Arabidopsis thaliana: one gene and its partner. The protein of the gene in region 2 interacts with the protein of the main gene of each other region in a biochemical or structural test. Each region holds a gene or a part of one and is shown on either strand. Other genes may lie near its edges.

Evidence for each region.
Region 1: the proteins of UGT75B1 (region 2) and ROP1 form a complex in vitro, tested with the Arabidopsis thaliana proteins (one study listed by BioGRID).

The regions. Positions count from the first base shown.
Region 1 is NC_003074.8:19,041,235-19,044,893, reverse strand, and holds ROP1 (RHO-related protein from plants 1), read right to left. Parts: upstream 2,037-3,659; 5' UTR 1,698-2,036; coding exon 1,599-1,697; intron 1,509-1,598; coding exon 1,421-1,508; intron 1,330-1,420; coding exon 1,220-1,329; intron 1,137-1,219; coding exon 1,073-1,136; intron 993-1,072; coding exon 862-992; intron 781-861; coding exon 679-780; 3' UTR 501-678; downstream 1-500. Other genes in the region: VPS35C (VPS35 homolog C), read left to right, coding at 47-260; AT3G51290 (pyridoxal-phosphate-dependent serine hydroxymethyltransferase, putative (DUF632)), read right to left, coding at 679-780, 862-992, 1,073-1,136, 1,220-1,329, 1,421-1,508, 2,478-3,231, 3,321-3,544. UniProt on the Arabidopsis thaliana protein: May be involved in cell polarity control during the actin-dependent tip growth of pollen tubes. May regulate callose synthase 1 (CALS1) activity through the interaction with UGT1.
Region 2 is NC_003070.9:1,644,488-1,649,521, reverse strand, and holds UGT75B1 (UDP-glucosyltransferase 75B1), read left to right. Parts: upstream 1-2,086; 5' UTR 2,087-2,288; coding exon 2,289-3,848; 3' UTR 3,849-4,222; downstream 4,223-5,034. Other genes in the region: CALS1 (callose synthase 1), read left to right, coding at 96-896, 973-1,023, 1,110-1,295, 1,394-1,642. UniProt on the Arabidopsis thaliana protein: Possesses low catalytic activity on indole-3-acetic acid (IAA) in vitro. May transfer UDP-glucose from sucrose synthase to callose synthase for the synthesis of callose at the forming cell plate during cytokinesis. Has high affinity for 4-aminobenzoate.

The DNA of each region.
Region 1 (3,659 bases), on a different chromosome or scaffold from region 2:
CCAGTTGTCACTGCTTTCTCTTAATGGTTTTACGAGTCAAATGCAGGTATCTCTACTTCCTGGAGAAAGGAAACCAACAAGTAACAGGCGATACAATCAAGAGCTTAGCTGAATTAATCAAAAGCGAGACAAAGAAGGTTGAGTCAGGCGCAGAGCCATTCATAAATAGTACTCTACGTTACATCGAGTTTCAGAGACAGCAAGAAGATGGTGGCATGAATGAGAAATACGAGAAAATCAAAATGGAATGGTTTGAATGAATTTATTTCTTGCATTCTGTTAGGCAAATCATCAATAATCAATGGCTTCTCGTCTTGTTGCAGAAGCATGAAGAGTAATCTTGAGAAATAAAACTTGTATCATTACTTTTCATTTCCTAGTTACACTCTCTACCAATAAACATGTTTGCAAAGTTTAAAACAGTAACATACAAAATATGGTCAGCTGAAGAAATGGTGGGAATGAAAACTGATTCAAAACATGTGGTGTTTGTGTGGAATTATGCATAGGACTGAATCGTAGAAGCAAAAGAAACGTTGATTCCGACAAACTCCATTAATATTAAGAACAAAAAGGACCAGTCAAACTTGGGTGTCTGTCCATTAACACATTGATTCATTCATTGTTAGAAGATTAATATACCAAAACCAAATACATAAAAACAGAGATTTCCAATCATCATAGAATGGAGCATGCCTTCTGCGCTTTGCTCTTCTTCTTCTTCTGCTTTGGCGGTTGCAACACCACTCGGATGGCTGCGTCAAACACCGCCTTCACATTCTGCACTCTCACATCATCAACATTAGCATTAACATTAACATTAGAAATCTGCAACAAGGGTATATATACTAATCTACGTACCTCTTGAGTTTTGGAACTGCATTCGATGTAAGTAGGTGCTCCTATTTGCTTCCTCAGCTCCTCTCCCTGAGCAGTAGTAATCGGAACAGCACCAGGATGGTCGATAAAGAACTGTTTATCATCTCGAAGATCTGGAGAGCAAAAACACAAACTCAGTCACAACTAATAAAGTAAAAGGAGCGAGATCAGGAAAAAACAATGGAAAACTCACCAAGCTTTGTTCCAACAAGGACGATGGGGACACCAGGCGCGTAATGTTTCAACTCCGGGATCCACTGCAAACACAATTTGTGACAAGAGTTCAAAAAATGTGACGAAAACTCAATAATATGAAACAAGATTGATGGATTTTTAAAACCTTTTTGGAGACGTTTTCATAACTGGCTTTACTGATAAGAGAGAAGGCCAAAATGAAAACATCTGCTCCACGGTAACTCAGTGGTCTTAATCTATTGTAATCCTCTTGCCCTGTTTATTCATACCCAAATTTTCAAAATCTTCAGATCCAAAAACCATATTCCAAATTTCAAACACCAAGATATATAGGAAAATGAAAAACCTGCAGTGTCCCACAATCCAAGATTCACAGTGCTTCCATTAACCACAACATTGGCACTGAAATTATCGAAAACGGTAGGCACATAATCCTGTATATCCACAAAAGAAACAAGAAACATGAGATATGTTGTTGTTGTGGTAATGAAACAAGAAACATGAAAGAATAATTGGGACATAACCGTAGGGAAAGTGTTGCTTGTGTAAGAAATCAACAAACAAGTTTTTCCGACAGCTCCATCACCAACCGTCACGCACTTTACGAACCTCGAAGCGCTCATTTCCCCTCAAAGTTTATTAATTTCAGGGAAATTTATAAAAAAAAAGATCTCAAAGATTTAGCCTTTGGAATTGGAGACTCTTGATATTTCTATTGATCGACCATCTGGGCATTGCGGATTCGAAACGATTGGAGTTTGTCCCAGAGATTAGAAACCCTATTACCCAAAAAGATAGAGGGGAAACAAAAAAAATGAAAACTGGAAGATGGCACAAAAACCGAAAAAAAACAAAGAGTTAGTTAGAGTTAGCTTTGGCCGGGAAAAATGGCGTTGAAACGTTCCGCTAACCAAACTTGTCTTTCTATTTCCGATTATTGTGGATTTCCTCTTTTAATAGCTCCCAACTAATCAAAATTACCAATCGATTGTGTGTTTATTTATGGGAAATCAAATTAGGCACTTGTCTTTTTCTGCCGCTCAAACGAATCATCTCTCTTTTCTTCTGTTACGTACACATCACGAGTGTTTGATTATCATTAAACTTGCTTACTTCTTTAAGCAATCCCCTTAACTACCTCACTAACTAACTAACTAACACTTCTCCAATGTTAATAATACCTTGGTAGGTCACCTTCCAATGATTTGACTTGGCTAAGAAGTAGTTGAATTGATGAAGTTTCAAGCAGTGATTCAATGAAAAGTCATTTAACCAATTTCATTTCGAAAACAGCATAAACTCAACCTAACATTCAACCAAAAGATTAGCTTGGATCAAGCAAAAACAGAGAGCAAATGGTAAAACAATTTGTCTTTCTCTCTTTAAGGAAGCAACCTCTTAACCTCCTCTTGATCCTCACCGATGCTCTTAGCTTGGTTGTACACAGACTCAAAGGCTTGCATACACACACTTGAAAACCCAACCATTGCCTGAAAGACATGAGGGAAACCCATCTGCAAGTTATTTAGAGTCATGGCTCTAGTCACACTCACTGACTTCTCATGCTTACTTTTCTCTTCTTCTGCTTTTCCTTTTAGCATCTCAACCTTTACTCTCTTCTCTATCACCGGGTTCTTTTTCCTACTCTCAGGTACCGAGTATGGACTATACTTGCTCTCAAGCGCTCTCAGCGAAGCCGATTTCTTCTCGAAATCTTTTAACATGGATTCTGTTCTCTTCTTTTGCTTATGCTCGTCGGCTTGTTGAGCCACAATTCCATGGACTGCTGTCAGAAAGCTTTTGATCCCTTCAGATGCTACTTTATCAGGGATCCTGTCAATAGCTAAATGCCATTCCTCGCAGAAGCTGTAGATCTTTGACTCGTAGCTACTCCTAACAAGTGGATTCTTGCTGAACTGGAACAGACTTAACCTGAGCCAGCCCGTGAGAGATTGTATGTAGTCACGTTGGGCCTTGACCAAGTTGCAGAAAGAGTGATGCCATTGTTGGACCTCGAGCTCAAGCTGAAGAGTTGATTGTCGGTGAAGCTCAGATGTTGGTTCAGTGGAGGGGATGGTGTTAAGGTACTTAAGCTGCTGCACAATATGGGTTTGAACCTGGTGGCTCTCGTACATACTCCTCCACATACACATTAGCCTACATTACATTCATACAAGAACCTTGTTCACATTGACCAACATAAGATACTTTAGGTTAATGAAGCAATGGGAATGCACAAAACAAACCCTTTAACAAGCTCGACAAGCTGAGGGTAAAGCTCGGTCTCTCTGAGCTTGATGATCTCGTTAGAGGCGCTTTGGATGGCTTGTGAAGATACTGAGAGCTGAGATTCTAACTTCTCGACGTCTTTCTTAGCCTTCTCAGTCTTGACATACTCAGCTCTCTTCATCTCAAGCCTCCTCACTTGCTCCACTTTCTTCTCATGATCCATCTTTATGCTCTCTGCATACTGCAACAAAACCCACATTCAAAAAACAACAAACACTCACTCACTACTTGGCAAGATATTTGTGCCAGTGTACATAACACATTATTCATCAGAATTAAGTACACACGTGGGTCTC
Region 2 (5,034 bases):
GATTCTCCCTTTTTATCTCTCAATCACTAGATATATACATGGCAGGTTTGTTTTTCTTTCTCAAGACTGAAGCCATTATCTGTGTGTTTTGACAGTTAACCGTGCTTACGGTGTATGTGTTTCTTTATGGACGGTTATATCTAGTACTTAGTGGGCTTGAAGAAGGATTGAGTAGCCAACGAGCTTTCCGTAACAATAAGCCTCTTGAGGCAGCTCTTGCTTCTCAATCATTTGTGCAGATTGGTTTTTTAATGGCTTTGCCTATGATGATGGAGATTGGACTTGAGAGGGGGTTCCACAATGCATTGATTGAGTTTGTGCTGATGCAGTTACAACTTGCTTCCGTCTTTTTCACGTTTCAGCTCGGGACAAAAACACATTACTACGGAAGGACATTGTTTCATGGAGGCGCAGAGTATAGAGGAACTGGTCGAGGGTTTGTGGTCTTCCACGCGAAATTTGCTGAGAACTATAGGTTCTATTCCCGTAGTCACTTTGTGAAGGGCATTGAACTTATGATTCTTCTACTGGTATATCAGATCTTTGGTCAATCATATAGGGGTGTGGTTACTTATATTCTGATCACTGTTTCGATATGGTTCATGGTGGTGACATGGCTCTTTGCTCCTTTCCTTTTCAATCCGTCTGGTTTTGAGTGGCAAAAGATTGTTGATGACTGGACAGACTGGAACAAATGGATTTATAACCGAGGAGGAATTGGTGTCCCTCCTGAGAAGAGTTGGGAATCTTGGTGGGAGAAAGAGTTAGAACATCTTAGACATTCAGGGGTTCGTGGTATCACCCTTGAGATCTTTTTGGCCTTGCGCTTCTTCATCTTTCAATATGGACTTGTGTATCATCTCAGTACCTTCAAAGGAAAAAATCAGAGCTTTTGGGTAAGCTAACCTTATAACTACTTCCCTGTGAATGGTGAAACTCTTGATTATTGAACGATAATGACTCTGTTTTCAGGTTTATGGAGCGTCATGGTTTGTGATCTTATTCATTCTACTGATTGTGAAGGTATGAATCTTTAAGCACATTCACATTTCAATTTCTTGCCAAATCTTAACATTGTGTTGCTTTCTTCTATGTAACGATCATTGCAGGGTTTGGGCGTTGGAAGGCGAAGATTCAGCACGAATTTCCAGCTTCTATTCAGAATCATAAAGGGTCTTGTGTTCCTCACATTTGTGGCAATTCTCATAACTTTCCTCGCACTTCCTCTGATAACAATCAAAGACTTATTCATCTGCATGCTTGCCTTCATGCCAACTGGATGGGGAATGCTTCTCGTAAGTCTTTCTCCTCCATCAAACTCCTCTATTTGTATCTAAGATACCAGTTTTGTCTGGTTTTTGTGACAGTTGCTTTGTTTTGTCCTCCACGTCAGATTGCACAAGCGTGTAAGCCTCTGATCCAACAGCTAGGGATATGGTCATCAGTTAGGACGCTAGCTCGAGGCTACGAGATCGTGATGGGCTTGCTTCTGTTCACACCAGTTGCGTTTTTGGCCTGGTTTCCTTTTGTGTCTGAGTTCCAGACAAGAATGCTCTTTAACCAAGCCTTTAGTAGAGGTCTACAAATCTCTCGTATTCTTGGTGGTCAAAGAAAAGACCGGTCTTCAAAAAACAAGGAGTGACATGTACACATGTAAATGGCGTATGTGTAGATTTAATGGTTATCTGTTATTGTTTCCTTCCCAAGTAATCTATAGTTAGAAAGTTCCTGTAACTTTCATAGATATATGTTAATTATTTTCCATTTCCATAAGTTCGCGTCCATTATAATAGAAAGTGCATGAGACGTATCTTTTTCATATGGAAGACGAAAACATTGGTTCTCCATTCTAAAAGTCAAAAAGAAAATGTATATCACTTGAACTTTTCCACATAGGTCATGATAAAGACAGGACTAATCAATCATTCATTGTTGATAATGGTCTCAATTACCTGTTGCTAGTTATTTCTACATTTGTATAGTGCAATACTGTTTTTTTTTCCTCTTCCAAATAAAAACTACAGTACTAAAAGAAAGTTGGTAATCATAAAAGTTATAAAACTCAAATAAAAGCAATTACTCTGTTTCTTTTTCACTCTTATTTTATATGACTGAAATGAAATTGTCTATATGTTGTTTTTGTTTGTATGTTCATTGATATGTAAACATCAAATCTGCAAAAAACAACCGCAAGTTTGGATTTATACGATGAAGCGTTTATCTAGTGAGCGTCATCGCAGACGTCACAAGTTATGTGGTACAATTTTGCGTATGTTTGATGAATACGCATGCATGTGCAGACATCAAAATCCAATTCCTCATCTATATTTATATATATGTATATATATACATATGAAAGCACAGATATATCCACAAGGAGAGACACAGATTCTTGTATTGATACTCACTTCAGTGGAGCTAAGACAAGTAGAAAAAAAATGGCGCCACCGCATTTTCTACTGGTAACGTTTCCGGCGCAAGGTCACGTGAACCCATCTCTCCGTTTTGCTCGTCGGCTCATCAAAAGAACCGGCGCACGTGTCACTTTCGTCACTTGTGTCTCCGTCTTCCACAACTCCATGATCGCAAACCACAACAAAGTCGAAAATCTCTCTTTCCTTACTTTCTCCGACGGTTTCGACGATGGAGGCATTTCCACCTACGAAGACCGTCAGAAAAGGTCGGTGAATCTCAAGGTTAACGGCGATAAGGCACTATCGGATTTCATCGAAGCTACTAAGAATGGTGACTCTCCCGTGACTTGCTTGATCTACACGATTCTTCTCAATTGGGCTCCAAAAGTAGCACGTAGATTTCAACTTCCCTCCGCTCTTCTCTGGATCCAACCGGCTTTGGTTTTCAACATCTATTACACTCATTTCATGGGAAACAAGTCCGTTTTCGAGTTACCTAATCTGTCTTCTCTGGAAATCAGAGATCTTCCATCTTTCCTCACACCTTCCAACACAAACAAAGGCGCATACGATGCGTTTCAAGAAATGATGGAGTTTCTCATAAAAGAAACCAAACCGAAAATTCTCATCAACACTTTCGATTCGCTGGAACCAGAGGCCTTAACGGCTTTCCCGAATATCGATATGGTGGCGGTTGGTCCTTTACTTCCCACGGAGATTTTCTCAGGAAGCACCAACAAATCAGTTAAAGATCAAAGTAGTAGTTATACACTTTGGCTAGACTCGAAAACAGAGTCCTCTGTTATTTACGTTTCCTTTGGAACAATGGTTGAGTTGTCCAAGAAACAGATAGAGGAACTAGCGAGAGCACTCATAGAAGGGAAACGACCGTTTTTGTGGGTTATAACTGATAAATCCAACAGAGAAACGAAAACAGAAGGAGAAGAAGAGACAGAGATTGAGAAGATAGCTGGATTCAGACACGAGCTTGAAGAGGTTGGGATGATTGTGTCGTGGTGTTCGCAGATAGAGGTTTTAAGTCACCGAGCCGTAGGTTGTTTTGTGACTCATTGTGGGTGGAGCTCGACGCTGGAGAGTTTGGTTCTTGGCGTTCCGGTTGTGGCGTTTCCGATGTGGTCGGATCAACCGACGAACGCGAAGCTACTGGAAGAAAGTTGGAAGACTGGTGTGAGGGTAAGAGAGAACAAGGATGGTTTGGTGGAGAGAGGAGAGATCAGGAGGTGTTTGGAAGCCGTGATGGAGGAGAAGTCGGTGGAGTTGAGGGAAAACGCAAAGAAATGGAAGCGTTTAGCGATGGAAGCGGGTAGAGAAGGAGGATCTTCGGATAAGAACATGGAGGCTTTTGTGGAGGATATTTGTGGAGAATCTCTTATTCAAAACTTGTGTGAAGCAGAGGAGGTAAAAGTAAAGTAAATAAAGGACAAAAGAGTTGGTGTCTAGAAGTGGCGGAGTGTTATTTGCTAATACTGTCACTTTGTAATATCAAATTCAATTAAAACATAAAATTTACTCCATCTAGATAAATATGTTTTTTGAATAATGGTCAATTACAAAACATGTTTGATTGAATCACCTTTTTGAGACTCTCCAAGCAAGCGTGTTCGATCGATGGGCGTTTAGCCATTTTCTACCTCCGTTGTTCTTCCGATTAGGTTTCAGGCGAGCCCGTATTGTGATTGGGCCATCTCTTTTCGTTTTGTTTTCTTGTTGGGCTTTCGGCCCTATTGTAATTTTCTATTACAAAAATCAAAACCTTTTGACAGAAAAAAAACCACTCAGCCTTGCCAAATAGAAAGGTCCAAGATATTTAGAAATAATTATGACTAGAATTAGTCCTAAATGTATTTAGACGCTTAGACCATCCTTAATGGTTGGATCCAAACATAATTTATAATTTTAATATTGGAAAATCAAAAATTTAGACACTTTCAGTGTTTATTAGTTTTGAGACAGCCCAATGGTGGATCTAAAAATTGAGGATCTAAAATTTCAAATTTTGAAAAATGTGTATTCTTGAATAACTTGACATACACTCTAAAAAAACTCGAAATGTACACAAGCAATAAACTCAATAAAACACACAACACAACACAAGCATTTACTTGATCACAAACATAACAAGTTTAATTTAGGAAACAAGAAGGAATCCAATGAACCACTGAGTTGTTGCAGTCTTTATGATCCAAATAAATGTCTAAATATCCAAATTTGGATCAAGTCTATTGTTTTTTTTGGCAATTTTGATTTAATGTTTAGATCTTTTTGTGTTTGGCACCCTACTTAGACCTCCCTTATAAAGCAAAGTAAAAAGAATCAGATATTTTCAAAAACGTTACAGCATTTATATTATTATACAATATATTTATTTAGAAAAATAAAACATTTGATGCATTAGAAATAAAGCATAATAATAAAGATTTTATTTTATTTTGGTTAAAGTGTATAACTTTGTCTTGATCATAGTCCTTAAATTACATTTACAGAGAATGTGGGTCCGTTTTATTTATTTGAGGATTTTTACATTTACAAGTTCACTTCTTCTCTTTCTCCCCATCAACACCAACCATTATGCACTATGCCAGAGCCAGAGGCAGACATC